3 linked regions of the Lepisosteus oculatus genome follow. The protein of the gene in region 1 purifies or fractionates together with the protein of each later gene. This does not show direct contact. Links are inferred from orthologs where the notes say so. Each region holds a gene or a part of one and is shown in the gene's direction. Other genes may lie near its edges. The genes, in order: cpsf3, ube3d and fip1l1a.

Region 1 (7,363 bases):
TTATTATTATAATTACACAATGATCTTATTTTCTTATGTACCTGAGAGGACATGACCTGGAGTACCTGGACCTGGGAGGTTTTGGGCAGCATAGTTGCCTGGGGAGTTCTCTGTGTGGATTTTGTATATTCTTCCTGTGTTTGTCCTCGTTTCTGACTGGTGCTTTGGTTTCCTCCCACAGTCCAAAGACAGTTATAATAATAAAAACTGGTAATAATAATACTAATACTTTACACTGATATAAGGCTTTTCTGGACACCCCACTCAAAGCGCTTTACAGGTAATGGGGACTCCCCTCCACCACCACCAGTGTGCAGCCCCACCTGGATGATGCGACGGCAGCCATAGTGCGCCAGAACACTCCCCACACACCAGCTCTCAGTGGGGAGGAGAGCAGAGTGACGAAGCCAGTTCATGGATGGGGATTATTAGGAGGCCATGACTGGTAAAGGCCAGGGGGAAATCTGGCCAGGACGCTGGGGTAACACCCCTACTCTTTTCGAGAAACAGCCTGGGATTTTCAATGCACACAGAGTCAGGACCTCGGTTTTACGTCTCATCTGAAGGACAGCACCTTTTTTACAGCAAAGTGTCCCCGTTACTATGTGGGAATATGTTTTTCTTTGATAAAATCTGTTGCAGTTGATTAATGAAAATATTCACTTTATTCAAGTACAGTTACAATATCAGAAGTATTACCATTATGCAAGATAATTAAATAATTAGCCCCACTAAATAACTGAGAGCTCGGATGGAATAAAAACCAAATGGCCCTTAGAGTATGATGTCTGCCCTAGTCAGTCTGTGGTCAAAGGCGCACTGTAGAAACTAGAAAAGGGCTCCTGGTCTGTCTCACTGTCTCTGCTATTGAGCACCAGGTGTAGACTGCCCAGCCTCTCTGGAAGGATTTGAAGGTTGTGGAGGGCTAGGAGCACCTGCACACAAACACAGTCTAAAAATGTGTCTCCGTTGAGAGCTCATATGTCTGCTAGGTTCTGCGAAAATGAACATCCTACTAGGGCTGCCAGACAGTAAATAAAGAATAAACCGACGCTGTCGGACGTAATGGTTTATCACACTGCTTCCAATTTAAAACTCATCCACTCACATTTGAGCACGAATCACCTGACAGCTGAAATACCTGCTTAACAGTCCCTAGGGAACACTCACAGCATTTTTTAGAAATGTAATAATAGTGTAGACTATTTTGAGTTTTTTTTCCTAATTCATCCTGACTCTTTGCAAAAAGTCGATTGTAACAGTCAACTGTTCACACCACCACTTGTCTTCCATTTAGAGGCAATACGCAAGACTTGTCCTGCCTCTCAATGAAAACAGCTCCTACTGCATGCGGATGCCGTTTGAATTTCCTGTTTCCTATGCTGGAATGTCTCTACATGTTCTTCAACCATTAACATACTGCCTATTACTGTCTCTGCAGGGGTTACAGCCACTACGACCCGACTGACAATCCTACAGCAGCTGTCTGTACGGTCTCCTGAGGCTTTGCGGTCTCCATCTGTCACTCTCCGGTTTCCTCTGCTCGGAGGTTTGACTCGTGTGAATTCGCTTAACATTTCTGAACTGCAAAGGCGTGAGGCCGAGTTTTTTTTCCTGTTGCATCTGACAGGCTTTTAAAACAGTCTTTGTGAGAGAGAAAAGAAAAAGAAGTTCGGGACAATGATATAGGTGCACTCATCTGTCTCGATCTTCCCGCTGAGCTTGCCGATACGAGAAAGAAAACTAGAACAAACGGTCCCAAACATCAAACTGAAGCACTTTAAGTAACAAGAGCCATACTGAGTGGGATGCAATTTTGTACAGCCTCACAATCGGGCTGACATAAATAATCCTACCGCTCTCCCTGCCAAGTCCACTTTCGCACAACTTGCCTACAATGTAACTTTGAAGCCAGCGCGGCGTGAGAAACGCACAGCAGGTGAATGACACACAGCGGGCATCTGAGAGTCGAGCTCACTGAGAATTTCAACCCACCGTCCTCAGATCGTTAATTAAAAAAACTCCCAGCTGAAGTAACGGAAACCCGTTGCCAGGCTAAACTCTCCACCCCACCCACAACCCCCTCATCGCATCCTCGTTTCATTGACATTTCTTTCCAATCACCTTTTAACCGCACAGCCCTTCACCGTAAATCAGAAAACTGGCAGGTCGGACTGATGAGATAATTCAAGCAGCTGTTCAACTCATACCTCGTTTTATACGTGTTTAACGAGCCCGTTCGCGACGGGGCTGGGCGTTATTTCGGCCAGGCTTGTAGTCTCCGGGTCTGTGTTTTTGGCGAGGCTCGGGCAGACACGTCACTTCCTTTGGGCTCCACCCACACCGCTTAAAGGAGACGCGACCCACACAACCCCCCCGGCGAACCGGGCCCGAATCGCGGGTCGTCACGGCGCTGTGTTTGTGTGGTGAAACCCCATTCCTATTCCCGGCGTCGTGTGGCGCAAACGCCAGACAGCAGGAAGTGTGTTTATGTCTCCATGGCGACGGTCACAATTGGAAGGGCGCGCTTCGTTGCTTGTTGTAAGACGGACGAGTCCAAACCCGAGGCTCTCAAATTGAAACTAAGAGCGCTTTATTCTTTGGCACGGCCGATGAATTACAGGGTGGACAGCGAGGCCGGAACAATTAGCACGGCATTTACAGTAGCTCCAGAGATGATGGCGTGAGGCGCAGGTCCTGATTCACGTCACTGTCTCTCAGTGCGTGTTCCCGCTACTACAAACTCGCGGGAATCGCGTCACACTTTAAATCACCGCTTTATCCAACTGAGGGTCGCGGGGCGTGTAGGGCGTAAGGCAGGGTACGACAGCAGAGCACATACGCTCACACCAGGGCTAATTTCCCCAGGAGCCAATTAACCTACTACTACGCTCTGCACAGACAGCACCCCAGGTCTGGGATCGAACCCAGGCCCGCTGGGTGGACGCTGTGAGAACATGCATACTCCCCCCAATAAGGTGACCCAGACCAGATCTAGCCCAGGGTCCAAACGTTTGTGAGGAAGCAACAGTGACCTTCATGGCCCATTCCTGCCCTGACTTTAACATCCCGCCTGCAAGTGATCACAATTAAACTGCTCCAGGTCTTCAGAATTCCCATCTACCCAGATTTTTGGATTACTTAATAGCTATCTGTAAAATCAACAACACAGAGCGCCTAATACCACTTTGAATTCAAGGAAATTGATTTGCAGCCTTTCCATTTTTTATTTTCTGGCGTTTAAACGGATAATGACAGATTCATAGTTTTAATTTTGTTTACAAATTGAAATTCGTTTAAGATAAGTTTAAGCTTCTACTATATGTTGTTGTCTGTGTGTATCAGCGTGTTATTGTTAGCAGGATTGAATACTGATATATTACCAACTAGTTGTCTAACATAAGAAAGATTACAAATGAGGGGAGATCATTCAGTCCATTTAGCTTGTTTGGTAGTTAGTAGCAACTTGATCTAGATTCCAGATGATTTAGTGTGTGGCTTCTACAACATGGCTGGGTAGTTTGTTCCAGACTCCCACAACTCTTTGCGTAAAGTTATGCCTCATGTTCTCAGTTTTAAATGCACCTCCATGTAGTTTCTACTTGTGTCCCCTGGTTCATGTTTCACTGCTCATTCTGAAGAAATCTGCTGGGTTGACTTTGTTGAAGCCTTCGAGAAGCTGGGATACTTGTATCAGGGCCTCTCAGAATTTCGTCCATTTAAGAATAAAAAGGTGCAGGTCTTTCAGTCTGTCAGTGTAGGACATTCCCAGAATGTATCGTGTTGGTCTTCTCTACAGCCAGCCATGTAACGGGAGCAGGGCAGGATACACCCTGGATGCGGAAATCCTAACCACTGCATCACCCTGCCACCCTGCAATTGCAGCTGAAATCTTTTCATTAAAACTGCTGATGCTTCACTGAAAGCTGGCTTATTGAAATTCTGTTCTTCGAGTTTTCAGAACACATCACGTTTAAGTATTAGTAGTACTTAAATAAAAAGGTTACTTTAACAGAGAGCGTTGAGTAAGGAGAGGACATATGTACATTTTGATGTGAATACACCCATCACCGTTGGATTCTATGTCCCAGATAGAAAAATATGTTTCAAGGAATATTTTGCGGTTTATTGAAATACTTAGTGATACTCGAAAAGTCTAAACTGTAGTAATGAAGAACTATACTCTCTAGAGTTTTTATGCAGTAGGTACACACAGACTCACTGCGTGTATTCCGTTAGTAACAATGATGTCGGAACCAAAGATCGATAGGGATAGTTTCAGTAGGGACGTATTTTGCACGCAGAACCGGAAGTTGTCCTGTTTCGCGCAAGTGATTATGAGGCAGAGTGGTGCTCCAAGTTTTTGCTGTTAACATTGTTTCATGACTTATGAAATAGAACTGGTTGTTTAATGGCTGCGAAGCGAAAAGCCGATATTTTGGTACCAGCGGAGGAAAGCGATCAGTTATTAATTAGACCCCTGTAAGTGTGCTGTGGTTTGCGTTTGTGGGTTACAGTGAACAGCCATGAGTGCCTGTGTAATGTGTCGCGGGAGATTCAGTAAGGAGCAGTGCACCGGTATAGAAAGTAGTATGTCCAGTTGTGTAAGAGTATTTCCCACGGAAACTATTAATTTGGTGCAGACGAACGCATACTACATTGTCGGCTACTCGAAATTATTTTTGTGTTGATTTTCATTTATGTATATTTTGTACGTAATACAACGTGTAATTGTATGTAATTGATTGATACAAGTTTTCTAAACATCACAAAGACCCTTATGTACTCTTGATGATTGGGAACAAAAACAGTTCGGATACATTTCATTATACATTGGGGGTTTATCTATACAGGAATCTCAACAGAGAGTTCTTAGGTCTCTTACAGTTTTATTCATTTATTTAGTAGTCTAAAATAAATGTAGACGCAAAGGAAACCAGACTGATGTTCACATCAGTAAAGTTCATTAGTCTTAGTATTATAAGGTATTTGCTTGGACCAGTACAACTCAGTTTTCTGTTGCATATGTGGTTCCAAAATCTATTTTCCAGATGTATATCATTTTAATAGTTTTAAAAAGACAGATTCTCAATAAATAGGGTGTGCAGACTTAACCAAGAGATTAAGAAAGCTTCATTTTACAATGTTTCTCTGGTGCAACAAATCCTAGGTTCCTTACTTAGATTTCTTGAAAAAGAGAACGCACGTTTGAACTTTGTGAACATTATCTATTGGGGGACTTTTAAAGCTGTTATTGTTTTTTTCATGCTAAGCTGCTTTTTACTTTTGAATTCCCTAAAATTGTTCGTTTTGTAAATGCGGTGCATTCTTTGAGTGTACATTGTGCAGGTTTGGAAATTGGAAAAAAAGGAAGGCTCTGCACTTGCTTCATGCAGTTCCTCCTCTCGAGTCTCGAATTAAAGAAGGGTGTTCTGTTTTTCATGGTCCCCTCAGTGGCGCCGGACAGGAAGTGGGAAGATCATGCATCATCTTGGAGTTCAAGGGAAGGAAGATCATGGTAGGACACTGCCTGCTCTGTCTCAGGCTCCCCCTGCGGGGTGGGGCAGACACTCGGTGTCACAGTTCTGTGGCGGGTGGGTGACACCTGGAGAAGAGGTGCCATGCGCTGTCTCTCTTTCCCCAGCTGGACTGTGGTATCCACCCAGGCCTGGAGGGCATGGACGCGCTCCCCTACATCGACTTGATAGACCCCGCGGAGATTGACCTCCTCCTGATCAGCCAGTTTGTACCACCAGCCGCTCCGGTCGCCCTCAGCCCTGGCCCCAGAGCACCCCTTTGTCTTTTAGCCAGTCCTTGCCTTCCTTTAATCGGTCAGGCTAATTCCTAGGAACAGCCACTTCCTGGGTTTCAAGCCCATTTCAGTTCCAGTGTCGAATGTAAACAGTTCAACTTGGGCAGAACACAGAGGTGCAAATATTGCACAGATATTTTCTCTTGTTTTATGGAAAGAGCAAAACTTGTTGGGATGGTCTGATACAGTGTTGTTCCCCTCAACACAGTGTTGTTGACACCTTGAATTAGGCATCTAATAATAAGGGCTTTTTAGATTTGCATAAACACTTAATAGGTTGCTGCCTCTGAATATGCAAGGGGAAGAGAGGGGACAGCACTCTGTCTGCTGTTTTTTTTTTGTAAAAGATCTGCAGAAGAGTATTTTTAAAACTGAAGAATGAGCATAGAAGAAGGTTAAAAAAGTCGGACCAAGCAAGAATTTCATTTACAGATGCCATCAGCGGGTCTTGGGTGGTTAAAGGCTTTGCTGAAGTGAAAACATGATAACACAGGGGAGCTCCAGGACAAGAACTGACAGTCATCCTTCTGCCCAAAGAGACGTGCCCTTATTGAATTAAGACGTGTGCCAGTTCGTTATTGAAACATGCATATTGTGTCTGGTAGTTTCCACCTGGATCACTGTGGCGCTTTGCCCTGGTTCCTGCAGAAGACCAGCTTTAAGGGGAGGACATTCATGACTCACGCCACAAAAGCCATTTACAGGTGGCTGCTGTCAGATTATGTTAAAGTCAGGTGGGTGATTGTTTTTGTTTTTCTTCTTATGACAGGAAACCTCAGCATATTACTGTATGTGGATTGAAAAACGTACAATGTGTTATCAGAGTTTATACCAATAATTCATTGTTAGACTTGGATGGATCCACGTGCGAGATATTGTTAGATGTAGTGTTAGATGTCTGTCATCCTTGTATATTTTTCCTTCATCTCGTTCATCCTGTATGTGACTTCTTTCCTTTCCTGCTATGCAGTAGGGTGACCAGAAAGCTGCTTTTCCAAAGTCAAAAATTGACCTTTTTGCCAAGATTGATGTTTATGTGCCACAGAAATATAAGATCAAAGGGAACATCTGCAAAAACAATGCAGTGTGACTTAATTACCTCAAGATCACTTCAAGTATCCTTTAAATGTCCGATTGCTGTTTCTGTTTAAACACTCCCTGCCTGTTCTCTTTGACCATAGCAACATTTCAGCGGATGACATGCTGTACACAGAGACAGATCTGGAGGAGAGCATGGACAAGATAGAGACGATCAACTTCCACGAAGTGAAGGAGGTCGCAGGCATCAAGTTCTGGTGCTACCACGCGGGCCATGTTCTGGGGGCGGCCATGTTCATGATTGAAATCGCTGGTGTGAAGGTGGGACTTTGCCCTACGCTACACTGCTCTTTAACTGGAGCTGTTCGGTGCGGACGAGATTGTATTTTTGCTCCTGAGCCCTAAACACAGAAAAGCTGTAGTTCTGCTAGAGTAGATATGTGTTTTTAAACATTAAGATATCCTGCATTTTTCTTCAGTCTAGTAATATGATAGACTTAGTTTTCTGTAATG
Region 2 (7,886 bases), about 19 Mb from region 1:
GTCACAATCTACATTTGCTTCATGTATGTGCACGTGAATCCTATTTGTCTCCATTCTCATGTGCTACTTATTGTTTGGGGCAATACATCATATAACTGTGGGCTCCTTAACTTCTGTCTTGAACATTCCTAAAGTTCAAAGGGACTATTCACCTGTACAAGAACGTGTTAACTTAACATCATTAACTCAGGGATGTTTGAACGTATATCATTACAGTTCCTACCGTTGAAAACAAAACATCAGTACTTTCCTCCAAAGCACCGAGAACTGAAATTAGTATCACTTCCTATGCACTTGGATTGGTGCATTTCTCCAAATCCTATCGTCAGCATTTGTGGTGTACAACACACAAGTCTTGGGCCGATTTTCAATAAATGACAAAAGACTGCAGAGTTCAATGAATCATGTTTCAGTTTTCAGAATGACTGATGTGCCCATTGGTACATAAGCCAAAGAAGTCGTTAGCATGTAGCTGTCCAGGTAACAATGTTCCCTTAAAGGAATTGAGGATGACAGCACATGAAAAAGCGTATCATACAGAGCTGTGGAAATACCAGTAGTGGTAAAAGTACTGCAGTTCAAACAGTGATACATATTCAAAGGGCATCCTACTTCGCAAGAAAAAAAAATATTTTAAAATGAAATATATGCTCAAATGCATAACTATATATATATATTTGTCGAAGAAAATAAAGAATTCCTACTATTCTTCTTTCCTGGACCAAAGCTTTGAGCATAATATTCTAAAGCACTGTAACAGAGCCACTCAATGATTCCGGCACTTGAAGGAAGTCTTTGCTTTTACTCCTGCATTTGTATCACCAGATGTCGATGACAATAAACTAGAAGCACGGTACTCGTATTTCGATTCGGCCTGCGACACAAAATGGTCAATATATGATTATTATAGATGAATAAGAATGCTCTTTTCTGTATTAAGGCATCCATAGCTAAAAGGAAAACGTGTTTGTGTTAAAAACGGAAACAGCTGGATTTATATACTAACACATTTTAGTTACAGATCGCAAGAAAAATGGATGTCGCCTTTATTTTAGGGATCTTTTCATCATAATAGATCTGTAACTGTCATGTCACAGCATCTTCACCAAGAAGCAATCTTGTCTAAAAAAAAAGTCGTGCTCTCATACAATCAGTTTCAGTTAAAAAGATGTACAAAAAAACGTCATTTAAATATGTATGCCGATATAAAGTGTGCTTACCGTCTGTAGGTTATGAACCACCCAATAAATATATGAAAGAAAAACAAGGTTGTCTACGCTAGGGCAGGGACTTAACACTGAATAACAGCAATTCAAGAAATATAGGGCCCTTGTCACTCGGAAAAACGCTGGTACTAGAGCAGAAAAGAAACTACGTAATCCAGTAAAACGTGTGGGTATCCTACATCATTCCGGGTCAGCAGAATGTCGTAAACATGCCACAGGACGCCCGGGCAGCTCATCCCTGATTTCCTCTCTGCCCCGACTGCAGATCTATGACTATGACACACAAAGCCCAAGTCCAGCTGACAGCTCCCAGACAGCACTGCGGCTCGTGGTCCGCACTCACGGCTCCCGACTCTGCGCGCACCCCTGCTGAAAGGTTCCGCACCGATCGCGACCGATCCGAGTACTGTAGTTGTGAACATGTAACACTCAGCGTTTGTCAAAGTAACAAGAAGACTGATAGCGACTTCCCTGTTAAAGTATTACCATAAGTGGTCTAGTTAAATAAAGCGATGGTGATAAATGGATCACTGTAAATTTAAGTAATTTAATTTACCTGTTCCATTATTATTATTATTATTATTATTATTATTATTATTATTATTATTATTATTATTATTATTATTATTGGTGGTGGTGGTGGTAATAATATGTGTGGATCGACTGCATATTTACTTAACGGCCAGCAATCGGCGCGAGCGAGGCTGCGTTTTAAACCAACCGCGTGAACCTCATTTAAAAGAGAGTGATACTTCGTTTCATTCCTGAAGTGCAACACTATCACAAAAGCTAGGACTTAAATACAAGATGGAAAATCATGCTTCACATGATATTCCACCAAATGTACACTGTACATAGTATACAAGCTGTGTGCTGCATGACGAGAAGTAGTTGGTCCCCCCTCTCCACTCCAGTTGGTGAGTCTGCCAACCTCGGAGACTCAGAGTTGAAGGGATCTTGTACTCTCTCACACTGCTTGAAAGCACTTGCTAAAAGTCTAAATTGCAATGAATTCGTGTTTTTCAAATAATGTAATATGGTATCCGTATCATACACTGCGGGGCCCAGTGTCTTTATGTCTTTCGAAAAGACAACCTGATCAGTTACTCTTATTAGTTTATTAGTCGGGATTTATAGGTTTTATATTAGTTAATTGAACTTGCATTTACCTAAAACACACACGAGACTATTTAGAAATATTCCAACCAAGCAGTTAATTAATTCATATTTATATGTGACGCACACACCCATAACTTTTGTTTTTAATTTTCCACTTTTAGTTTCTATTTTTCGTAAATCGAAACCGCTGCTTTCATGATCGGCCAGCAGGTGGCGTGAGCCGGATGCCATCTGGTGGTAAAGTGAAGCAGCTTAAATAACGAATATTTACTGTATCTTTACAGGAAAGCTGGCAGTCTCATCGTAATATATGATCTGCAAATACATTTGAAATATTTTGGTTATTTTAGTCTGTAAACAAGTTTATATTTAGATTAGAAACTATAGTCAGTATGCAAAGGAACAAGTAAAGGTTTATTCCAATTCTGAAAAGAGAAGAAAAACACAACGTTTCAGCTGTGGAGCCTTCTTAGGGTGCTACACACAACATTTTACATTGTAATATCTTTATTGAACCAATGGTTTAAACAATCAAGGCTACTGATGGAAAAAGTAGGTGGATCTCTAGGATAATGACATCTTGAAAAGAGGGTAATTGGAGTCAGGTGTTCCAATCGATTCAGGTGTGGGTTTGACTTGCCCTGCCATATAAAAAATCACACAAGGGGTTACTTGCTTTTTATGACAGAATTTTGTTGAAGTGCAACATGGCCAGATCGAAAGAGATTTCAGAGGACCTCAGAAGAAGGGTTGTTAAAACTCATAAGATTGGAAAGGGTTACAAAAGGATTTCTAAAGACTTGGGCCTCCATCAGTCCACAGTCGGGCAGATAGTTTACAACTGGAAGAAATTCACCACTGTTGGTACTCTCCCCAGGAGTGGGAGTCCTACAAAGATTAGTGCAAGGGCATGCCGTATAATCTTCAAGTGACAAAGAACCCTAGGGTGACGGCTAAGGATCTACAGGCATCTCTTGCACTTGATAATTTCTGTGTTCATGAGTGTACCATAAGAAAAACACTGAACAAGAGTGGTGTTCATGGGAGGTTATTATGGAGGAAACCACTGCTCTCCAAAAAAAAAAACATTGCTGCCCGTCTCAAGTTTGCTTAAGACCACCTGGATGTTCCACAACACTACTGTAACAATGTTCTGTGGACAGATGAGACAAAAGTTTTTCTTTTTGGTAAATGTACACAGTATTATGTTTGGTGCATATTAACACCAAAACCTCATCCCAACTATGAAGCAGGGTGGAGAGAGTATAAGGGTGAGGGGCTGCTTTGCAGCCTCAGGGCCTGGACAGCTTGCAATCATTGAGGGACCAATGAATTCCAAGTTGTATCAGGAAATTCTACAGCAGGATGTCAGGGTGTCTGTCTGTGATCTAAAACTCAAAAGAAGTTGGGTCATGCAACATGACAATGACATAATCAACAACAGAGTGGCTCAAACAGAAGAAATTTGTATTTTAGAATGGCCAAATTGTAGTCCTGACCTCAATCCCATTTAAATGCTGTGGTGTGATCTGAAGCAGGCCATTCAAGCAAGACATCCCAAAAATAAACATGAACTAAAACAGTGTTGTATAGAGGAATGGGCCAAAAATACCTCCTAAGTGCTGCACAGGCCTGATCAGCAGCTATAGAAAGCTTTTGGTTGAGGTTATTGCCAATAAAGAAGGTTCCACTAGTTACTACACATTGTTTAAATCATTTGTTCAATAAAGATATGGCAATGTAAAATGTTGTGTCGTTTGGTAAATAAGACTGTATTTATTATCCTGACTTAGACTAAGATCAGATCACATTTTAGGAGCCATTCATGCAGAAAACAATATAATTCAGTTTTCTCAAAACTGTAAATATGTATAGTTAATGGTGGTGCAATTAACTAATTCACTGTTTATACTTCCTCTCCATGATCGTATTAGTAGGTATACTGGGTTCTATGAAAATTGGTGTGTGATGCGAGTGTGTGCATGTCTTTGTGTGACCCATGATCGACTGCGTCCATTTCTTGCTAGTATAGCTGCGGGCTACCGTGACACCGAAAGGGATGAAGAGGTTAGAAAATTGATGGATGGACATATAAGACAATGATATAACAGTGTAACTTGACACAGGAATCGAGCTTGAGAACCCTGCTCCATATTTAATTATACTCTTAATCAGTCAATTCTGTGTATATATGATTTAAATTGTATATAAAGTTATTTTAAAGGTGGTGTTTTTATTATATATATATATCTTCGAATTAATTTACTTTATTTTCCCTCTCCTTTAAAAAGATTTTAATTACAATAAAGAAGCAAAATCGATTTTTTTCAGTTTGCTGCCATGAGAAGCAGTTACAGACACTCACCGCAGATGTCGCTGTACAATTCTTTACCGCTTGCTCTAGGCTTTCATAACCTCTGACCCTGGCGGCAATTTTCTTCCGGATTCATGAGGGGTTTGTTGATGATTCCAAACGTGCGGTGAAGTGAAGATTGTGGTAGACTGTGATTGTTTAAAAACCATCATATTAAAACAAAATAAATAATGGATAAAACAGAAAATCAGAGTGGATTCTTTTTGGAGTTGAGAACACGACTGCAAAGCGGACTTTTGGTCTTAAGGTTAATCCATTTTTCAATATTTTATTAGTGTGCTACATGCTGTATTGAAAGTAATAAATTAGGTTCCAGTTTCAAGTATTACATCTCGTGTTTTCAGATAAAGCTATTACTTTACATTTGATGTTTCGATTTTCTTTAATATTCGGTGATTTTAACTTGATTCAAATATAATGAATACAGCCTATTTTTAGTTACCTTTACACTTGCAATATCAGAAATGAAAAGAAAATAAGAGTTCAGATAAGAACAGATAATAAACTCACGATTATATTTAGCATCCTTTCACAATTGATAAACTTTTTAAACAAGTGAATAATGAAACAAGTTAATGACAATTTAATTCGTTTGTTTGGCTACTTTGTGTTTGAATGCATGCATCGTCAGTAGCCGAGACAAACAGAAACGAAGCAAAATATCAGTGTGAGATTTATTTTTAGAAATTGGGGCTACAATTGCTAGATCCTGAAACTTCATAACCTAGAAGTATGTCAACATAAAAGTTTTTGGGCAGTATTTGTGGTTAAAAAGACAAGTCAGTCTGGTACACCCCCAATTCAATGTTGAAAACAAGAAGGACATGTTAAATAATTGTTACAGTTATGAAAATGTTTATGTTCACTTTTGTTTCCAAAGTTAGAACTTCATTCACATCTTAGATCCATCTGTTAAAAGAGCACGCGTGACATTTTAAGTGTGACGAGACTTTTTCAATGATATGCTTGTGCTTACAAATCCCTATTATGTGAAAACTATATATCAAACTGTCTGGCAATGTTGTGTAAATGTAAATATAAAAGGCTTTAAACTGCTTATTCATGAATTTTGAATTTGTCACAACTCTTATGACCCATCACTGTAAATCTCCACTTGATGGAATTGCTGACATGTCTCACAAAAGGTGTATATGATGTTACAACTAGTCCATATAGTCCATGTCTTGCTCCTATTAATGAAATGGAACCATTGCTGTGATTTGTATGGTAAGACATTGTGTGTGAAAATATGAATGTCTTTTTATACTTTTTGTGGTGGTGCTTATTATCTCTTATGTGAAAGTGGACGTGATAAGCATAAAAATTAGAAAAAAGAATTATGAAGTGAATAAATAAGAAATCAACTTTAAGAAATTTAAGTAATTTTTTTGCATTTAGAATTAGGTGTTTGAAGAGTTAGATGTTTTTCAGAAACACTGAAAACATTATGATGCTCCTGAGTCCTTATGATACTAAATGGCACTTGAAAGCAACGTTATCAACCTGTTGATAATCACGATTTTCTTGCAAGGTGCTTAAGGAAGTGGGTCAAAAGACAAAGAGGGCATTCACTGAAACTATTAAACACATTTATGAAAGACAAAAATTACATATACATAATTCATTTATAAAAAAAACCACTCAGATACAACTTAAATAAACAATAATTTCCTCTGTTCTAAAATATCATTTATTGTTTGGTTAGTAATTAAAATTACTGGGGATACCTATATTACCGTCTCTGGATAATATAGGTAAAGAGTCCAGATCCTTTCTTTGCCACCAGATGGCAGTGTGAGATTTTTTTTCTGGAACGCATTTAATGTTTATCTGGTTTCTTTGCATGTTTTAAAAATATGCATGTGTATGTATCTTAATATTTAGAGCCTCACTAAATCATCACTTCTTAAAAGAGTATAATTTCTTTCTCCTTTTCATCCCCGGATCCATTGATGTCGGTGGTACTGCTGGGGACACCTATACTTTTTGGAAACCAGGTGGGTTTATTTATCATTCTATCCATCCATTTCCTTAACAGCTTCATCCAATTCAGGGTCACGGGGGTGCTGGAGCTTGGCATGCAATGCTTTCAAGGTGAGGAACACCCTGGATGGAGCACCAGTCCATTTCAGGGCAGACATAACTGCACACACTTATACCTAGGGCCAGTTTTCCCAAAAAACATTGAACCCTACCAGTACGTCTGTGGATTCTGAGGGGAAAATGGAGCACCTGGTGGAAACCCACGCAAACATGGGTTGAAAATACCAACTCCACACAGACAGTACCCCAGATCCGCATGGCATGTCCACGTACAGTAGATACCAAAGGGCTGAGTGAAGTCATGTTGTATAGCACAGGATCACATCTAATCAGATTCTTCAGCTGCACTCGTTAATTCTCAGCTGCTAGTGTTCAAACAAGCATTGCTGCTGCTTCAGAGTTTGTAGATACTAGAATGAATGGTATTTATCAAATCAAGAAAGGATTTTCTCCTGGCTGCTTGAAGGCGTTCCCCAGTGTTATTAACCTTGTGGACTCTGTGCTAGTGGAATGTTGATGTCAAAGCTGTAACCTAAGTATTACTCTTCAGATGTTTCCAGCATATGATCTTTCCATTAATTGTAAGTCCTGCTTTCCTAGTCCTAGCCAAAACTTTCCGAGAGCCTGAGATGATAATCTGAGCTGATACTGTAAAGGACCACATTATTTGAAAAGTGCCAGGTGCGTATTTTTGATATTCATCCTAAAACCAGTCGAGCTGAAAAACAGCCAGTGCTGAACTGATGTGATAAAGGGAGTAATTTGAATGTGGTCCAGCATGTCATAAGCTCTTTGGCTTCCTGTGGCTGTTGCTGTGGCCTAACATTGTTATGTGTATAGCACCATCCACCCTCTCCTGTAGTTGGATAGTTGTGTATCATTGTCTTGGATCAGTAATAACATCAGTCTTCTTTTACTCTTGCAAGCACATGGAGGATTTCCTTCCTAACGTTTGTAAGGGGTGCTGATCCAAAGATGATGTTAAAGGCCTTTGCAGCTTGGAAGCCGTTTGTGATCTGATGTACTTTACACCTTCTGTACCTTCAGTATCCAGCATATCACAGAGCTGTCTCACTCCTGCCTTAATCACATCAAAGGATGAGATCCCTGTGTGTTCTTGGAAT
Region 3 (6,924 bases), on another chromosome or scaffold:
TGTGAACATAATTAACTCCAATAAAAACAGACAAAATCATAAACAAAACATGAAGGAATAACTGAAGATATGTTTTTATAACGTGAACACTTCAAGCTATCTCCGTGGGATTTCTGATTTTCTGGTGAGCCAAGGTAAACGTCGAATGAAAAAATGGCACTGTTATTATTATGATTATTAATCCAAACCATAAGCACTGGCGCAGATTTACCACTTCAATTTCCTGCTATAAGGTGCAAGTTTAATTAAATGTAAGCTTTTATTCTAAGTGATTGGGATGTCAAATTTCCTGCTTTCTTAAAAGAAAGTAGGATATGAAAAAATGAGTCAACAAGCACTGCATGTTGTTAAAATAAAGAAACTGAGCAAACTAGCACAGCAGTGATGGGCTCCGCTGCCCTGTCTGCCTCAGGCATCTTAGAGAAAATAAACATCAGGAGTTTCAGAGCTTCGCACTCGAAGACAATACAACAGCGGACGACAGTTAACCTAAACCACGACCATGCTCACAGGGACTGCCATGACCAGTTAAAGAGTTCAAAGGGGAAAGTTCTTGTATTTCGCTTTAGTTCAGAAAATGTTTAAGGTCAGCGCAGTGGAGCAGAAAGGAAGAGGATTTTAACGATCCATATTGGGCGAGATGACTGAAACAGGCAGAAAATGTCATCTAGAAGAGAAAGAGTGACTAAAGATCATTCATTCCTGTTCTTATAATTTCAATTGGCCATGTTTATTACCTCTGCATTCGGAATCACATGAACTTGCTACTACCTCCCTTATTATAGCACAAGATTGACCAGGATAACACATATGCTGTATCTGCAACATGCACTCCTGCCCAGAGCTGAGTGTCTGACTGTGTCCATGGCAAAGACAACACTGCAAGCTCGCACAGACTTTGGAAAGCTACAGGACTCACTCTCGAGCAGCTCTGCACCCCTGTTTGGAGTGTCACAGTCCCAGTCAGCAAATGACTCAAGTCAAACTCGAACCTCGATCTCCGGATAAAAGAGCCCAGCCTTTGCTCCAAAGTGGCACCTTTTCCTGGCTCAGATGCTGCAGAAGCCAAACCCACGGGGACACATTGAAGGAAAAACAAAAGTTGCATCATGTCTTTCTGAACGAAAGAAGGACCAAAAGAAAACAAGTCTTGGTCTCATCACTGCAGTCCTGCACGTGGATGTTAAATCCATGGAAATTAACTTGACCACAGAGTTCAACTGACTTCTATAGAGCGTCTTGAGGAAAAATACTCAGGAACTACATTTAAAAACTATCCACACCAAAGTCTCATTAAAATGATGGCAATGAGGTTACTGAAAAACCCATAGAGCTTTTCAAAACATCACAGTCAGCTAGTTGGTCCCCGGATATGATCTTTTTCGTGACGCGTTTTCAAGCTCAAAAACTCATGCAGGCTCTGCGGCGAGCGCACTCGACGGCCCCGAGAGGGGAGAGGCCCTTACTTTGGCTGCGCCAGGCACCCTGGTGCGATGATGCCCTGGGACTCCGCGGTCCCCTGCAGGGCCGTCAGCTCCAGCATGTCCACCAGCACGTCGTTCCGGTGGCCCGGCAGCTCCGGCAGAGCCGAGAGGATCTTCTCCACCAGACTGTCGCCATGGTGCCCGACGGCTCCTGGAATAAGGCCAAACGCAAAATCAGGAACCACAATCCTGGTCCCCACAACGCCCCGTCGACTGACCCCCCCCCACGATGATCAGAGATCAGGGCACAGATGAAACATGCTCCGAGGAGCACGAGGAAGGCTGTAAGTGAGGAGGCAATTCGACCCAATTCGAGGATCTCAGCCAGCCGTGTCTTGAAGGAAGCCAGGGTACCAGCTGGGACACTTGCTGCATACTCCCACAACCCTTTGTGTAAAGCAGTAACTTTTTTAATCAATTTGTAAAAGCGCTTTCCTTTTTTCACTGAAGGCTACACTAATTGTCTTGAAATTAGAAACATTCCAACAAAACTGAAAGCTGAAAGACATCAGCATTGTCAGAATGAGAAATCCAAGACCTCAATGTCAAGATGATGATGATGATGCCACTTGACCACAGGGGCCAAATCTAAACACCCTTCTCTTCCAGTGCTTACAAAAGCGCTGGTAACCAAAACAATCTGAAAAAATGTCATAAAAAAAGAAGCACAGTATTTTATGCTAGTGTGCAACTTGAATAATATTGCAATGGTTCTGGCCCCGGTAAAAACATCACCATATGTGTGCAGTTCCAGGCATTATCATGATTCTTTATTCGATGCCATGGTCTGGTTTGCGTTTCAGAGTCTCCGTGTCAGAAATGTCCCTGTTTCATGAAACTCCTGCTGGCCCCTGATCTAGTAAGTGACTGAATGGACATGAGCTTTCATTACTCTGGAAGCCACTCAACAGTCACAGAAGTAAATGTGAAAAGAGCCAGACCTCACATTATTTTGTACATGTGGAAGGGAACACATTTCTTTGTTGACAGCGACTGAAACAAAGAGGTCTTCTTTCATCTACAGGAAACTTTAGGGTGCTTTGTTCACACAATACTTCTCTTTGAACATTAGCCTACAGAGGTTAAGTAAGTAATGGCAGACATTTAATAACACGAGACAAGAATAACACCGTTCCTGCACTACGGACTCCCGGCGTGCCTCATAGACTGCAGGGCTCAGAAGGGGGAGCTGACATTACCTTGCTGTTTCTGCAGCACATCATTCAAAGCAGATGCGCTGGACTCTGGCTGCGTCTGGACGAGGGATTTCAGAGCAATCTTTCCCTGCTGCGCGCTTTTCTGCGTGTGCATTTGCTGCGTGTTGGGGGCGTTTCTGCTTGTGCTGTCGGTGCGCCTTACCTGCCAAATCGAGCGTCCTGTCAATGAACACTATCGACGCTTTGTTTGGGGCCGCTTTCCTCCTGTTCTTCGCCTGAGGGTGGTTGGCAAGCTCCCCGGCTATCAGGCGACTCGTGGGGCCCACCGCGAAGCACTCCTCCCGTGTGTTGAGACAGTCAAACATGGAGCTGAGCCCGGATACCAGGGTCCGGATCTGAACCCGCAGCTCCGGGGGCAGGGAGTGCATGTCAGCGTCTGCGAGGCTGGCGAGCTTCTTCTTGTCCGGGCGGGCCCTGTTGATCAGCTCGAGGTCCCGGGACAGCAGGGGGAACAGCCCCCCGCAGGCGGGGGCCACCAGCAGGTGAGGCGACACGGGGGCGAACACCAGCGGGGCGTGCATCACCTCCGCCGTGTAATTCATGTCTCCCATCCACTCGCACAGCCTGTCCTCGAACTGCTCGAAAGCGGGACGCCCCTCCGCCTCCGGGCTGGCGCTGCTGGCTTGGAGGTGTACGGAGTGTGCGACAGCGGTGAACACGACGCAGTACTGGAAGGAGCTGAGGCCGATGATGTCCCTGATGGTGTCCGCTGTCCTGCCCTTCAGCAGCGTGCTCACGACAAAGACGGCTTTGGGCTCGTTCGCGCTGCCAGCTTCAAAGCTAGAGAACTGCTTGACGTTACAGGCTCCGGCTGCGAGCAGCATCTCGGTCCCTCCACACCAGTGCAGGCTCTCGCAACACCTGTCATCCATGAAAACAACCGCTTTCTTTACCTTTGACAGCACACTATCCCACGCCTGTCTCGGAAAGGTTACCAGCCCCGGTGAGGATGCCATTATTTACAAACGCTCTGATTGTTTTCTTCTAAGGAAAAAGGTACAAGAATAGAGATTTAAAGAAAGGTAATGTCTGAGAACTACAATCTTCCCAGTCGCTCGACAATACACATGCATGTGTCTCTCAAAGGTGACGTGGCATTTTCACGTCGCGTAAATATTACGTAAGAGGAAAGCGCATACGCGGTGCCTGTTTTTCAAGAATAGCATGTAGGTAGGTAGAAGAACATGTCTGCTCTTTAAATTGTTTAATTATATCCGCGTCTAATCAATACAGTAAGGGATGTCCAGTTTTCAGAACTTCAGCTTTTTATATTAAACATAAGACACGCCCTCTTTTTTTCTATAAATCGGAACAACTTGAAGGGACTGCCTGTATTTCCCACTGTTGGTAATACAGCACTAAAGTTCAGACTGGGGCTTAAAGTGTATTATTAACCAATATTTGTGAAGAGGACAGAGGCCTCAGATGTGGTTCTTAACACGTAAAAAGTACTTAGCCTGTGTTCAGTTCTGTACATTTAAGACAGTATGAATTTATATTGTCTCATAACCCTCCGTAGCGTAGTCTGGGTGTTAGTAGACAAGACAATATATAAGACAATATTGGGGGAGGAAGCCAGATGTAACTATTTTTGCTTGAAACTGCTAATGCTCGGTTCTGACTGAAAGTCGGACCTGTTGCCCAACGACGTGCTGGACCAATGGAGAAGCACTTCCCGGGTCAGTAGGAGCGGGTTCTGTCTGCTTCCGGGTGAGGGGCGAAAGGGCTATTGTTGTAGAAACGTGTTGGGCTGTTACCCTGCGAGTTCAGCATTTCCCAATGGGTTAAACGGCACCGAGTCTAACTAAATTCTCCAGGAGCCCTGCTGTCTGTGCGAAGGAAGAAACTTCAGCGGTCAAATTCACCCAAAGCTGTGTTAGGAGTGTTTTTATGAAACATCTTGCAGGTTTGGAAACAACATGTCTACGGAAGAGGCAGAGAAGACGGCAGTGACTGATGCCAGTGCGGGAGACGAGGAGGAGGAATGGCTTTACGGAGGTAGGGCTTTCATTAGTGTGTCACAATTCTGGGGAACACGGCAGTGGGGAGGAGGATTTCCTGGGCCTGGGAGACTGGTGCCGATGCCGGTGAGGAGTTCCCGGCAGGTTGCTGGAGAGTTTTGCGTGTGATCGCGGCCTGTGCTTCTTCTGGCCAGAGTAGTTCCCAACGAGTTTTCTGAAAGCAAGGTTTTTTTTTTAAATTTAGAAGTCTTAAGACCTAAGTGATAATTTCAGAAAATAAACTAACGCCGTTTTAAGTTTTTCATTCTGTTAATGCATTTCGCTTACTTAGCTGCAGGAAACAGAGGCATCGCTGGGCGGTGCGTTCCGTGGTCAGTGCAGATCGATGCTTTTCGAGTGTTTCACTCAGCCGTTTTATTTGCTGTCAGAATCTGTTCTTGTTGTTTTTTTTGCGTGTGTGTCCGTGTTGCCGTCGTCTTGCGATGACACTTGCGCGGTTGTGAGGCTCGCAGCCGATGTAACGGGCATGTTCTCGCCTGAATGACGTTGTGTCTCCTGACAGATGAGAACGACAACAAGCCGGAGGAGGAGGATGAGGCGGCGGCGAAGGCGGCGGCGGCGACCAGGTGAGCGAGTCTGCTCTGGTGTCTGCACGCCCTGCGCATGGGGAGCGCACCTGCCTGTTGTGTTCATCACGATCACACGCACCCGGCGCCTCATCGCGTTTAGATCTTTTCAGAAGGAGGGAAGTGCTAAAAAGAGCTCAGTTGTTTTTGGAAACGAGGCAGTTCTGCCTTTCGCTCTTGTCACAGGGTGACAAGACATAAAATAATCGCGAGGCATTGTTGCGTTAAACAGATCGACTGTCTTATCCAGCGCATACACATTGTGTATCATCTCAGGCAAAGCATGAAGAGGCACGGTAGTCCTCTTTAAAATCCTGCAGTGGAATCAGTAGATATTAGTTTGTGCAAGGGAATGCATGGTGGTGATTTGAAAAGAATTCATTAGAACTAAATAATATATCTGGTTTCCAATGACCATGAATTTTTAACACGAGGCAAATCAGAGTAGTGGACATCAACGCCATTAAATAAGATGCAACACCAGCTTCACTCACTGGAATGAGGAATAAAGCTTCCAGAGCTAGACGTGGGCACTGACGTGTTTCAGAGCAGTCATTCATCTGTGTTGTGCATGTCCTGTTAGTGAGAAGCCATCGAGGGTTGACTCATTGAACCCATATTATTGAAATTCACAGTCCGCTCCTGCCATGCAGTGTTAAAACTCAATGACATTTTAACGATGGAGGGCAGAAAACGCTTCCCGCCTGATTGTGGGGTTCATTTAGCATCTAGGCAGCGGGGCTGAGCTGCTGTGGCAGGAGGCACTGTCTTCACTCTCCCTGCTGGCGATGATCAGTGCGCCCGGCGCTCTGTCCTTGCGTTTGCTAACCCTCGTGTCGGCTTGTTTTCACAGCACGTTCCCTCCCCCCGCAGCAGAAGAGGAAGCCACTGGAAACGGAGTAGCCAAGCAGGTAACACTCCCGTCGCTCGGCTTCCCCTGGCATTGCCAGGGGTAGCGGTGGCCCGAGCACAACATGTTGAGCTGTCAGGCAGCATAAAATGTTCTTTTGCGCGTATTGTCATTAGGCGCTGTTCTTGTTTAACTGTGAGATCATGGATTGTGCTTTAGCAAGACCGTGTGGGTTGTCGCTGTGCTGAGAAAGCAGGATCTGTGTACAGCTGACTCCTACAATCATACACGTTGTTAATGCTGAGCAGTAGCAGACCGAAGCAAATACAAAGTGCTGGCAAGAAAGCATAGCAAATTGATGTACTGATATGAACAGTGAAATTAAATTCTGCATTAATATCGTCATGCCGGTGACCCGTGTCTTTCAGTAAACAGACTGAGCATGCTAGGGTTTGCCTTTCACTTTCTCTTTCCACCTGTGGCTGTACTCGATGGGCGGGCGCCACATGGTTGTTCTGGGGTTGTTTTCTGTACTAGAGGGCTGTCGCTCAGCCCAGAAAGTGGCCTTGTGTCACGTAGCTCCGCCCACTGCTCCTGGGCGCTTCTCAAGAGCTCATTCACACTGTGGTCCCAGGACACGGCCGAAGACGATGACAGCGACAGTGACAGCGATGACGACGACGACGATGTTCGTGTCACGATTGGAGATATTAAGACCGGGGCTCCTCAGTACGCGTGAGTATTGTTAAGGTTGCACTTAGTAAAGCCACTATAAAGCTTCAAATT

Evidence for each region.
Region 2: the proteins of cpsf3 (region 1) and ube3d purify together in Homo sapiens (affinity purification with mass spectrometry; 4 studies listed by BioGRID and IntAct, counting the BioPlex papers as one, with this or other methods). This does not show direct contact. The link is inferred for Lepisosteus oculatus from reciprocal best matches to the Homo sapiens genes CPSF3 and UBE3D.
Region 3: the proteins of cpsf3 (region 1) and fip1l1a purify together in Homo sapiens (affinity purification with mass spectrometry; 5 studies listed by BioGRID and IntAct, with this or other methods). This does not show direct contact. The link is inferred for Lepisosteus oculatus from reciprocal best matches to the Homo sapiens genes CPSF3 and FIP1L1.

What each region holds. Positions count from the first base shown.
Region 1 is NC_090697.1:12,017,322-12,024,684, reverse strand, and holds the start of cpsf3 (cleavage and polyadenylation specificity factor subunit 3), read left to right. Parts: upstream 1-4,305; 5' UTR 4,306-4,411; coding exon 4,412-4,482; intron 4,483-5,454; coding exon 5,455-5,518; intron 5,519-5,644; coding exon 5,645-5,742; intron 5,743-6,417; coding exon 6,418-6,546; intron 6,547-6,993; coding exon 6,994-7,171; intron 7,172-7,363. UniProt on the Homo sapiens protein: Component of the cleavage and polyadenylation specificity factor (CPSF) complex that plays a key role in pre-mRNA 3'-end formation, recognizing the AAUAAA signal sequence and interacting with poly(A) polymerase and other factors to bring about cleavage and poly(A) addition.
Region 2 is NC_090697.1:31,281,866-31,289,751, reverse strand, and holds the start of ube3d (E3 ubiquitin-protein ligase E3D), read left to right. Parts: upstream 1-4,801; 5' UTR 4,802-4,889; coding exon 4,890-4,966; intron 4,967-7,886. UniProt on the Homo sapiens protein: E3 ubiquitin-protein ligase which accepts ubiquitin from specific E2 ubiquitin-conjugating enzymes, and transfers it to substrates, generally promoting their degradation by the proteasome.
Region 3 is NC_090696.1:78,304,870-78,311,793, forward strand, and holds the start of fip1l1a (pre-mRNA 3'-end-processing factor FIP1), read left to right. Parts: upstream 1-3,848; 5' UTR 3,849-3,865; coding exon 3,866-3,867; exon of another isoform or gene 3,868-3,871; intron 3,872-4,607; coding exon 4,608-4,699; intron 4,700-5,224; coding exon 5,225-5,288; intron 5,289-6,141; coding exon 6,142-6,199; intron 6,200-6,772; coding exon 6,773-6,873; intron 6,874-6,924. Other genes in the region: scfd2 (sec1 family domain-containing protein 2), read right to left, coding at 1,467-1,635, 2,844-3,657.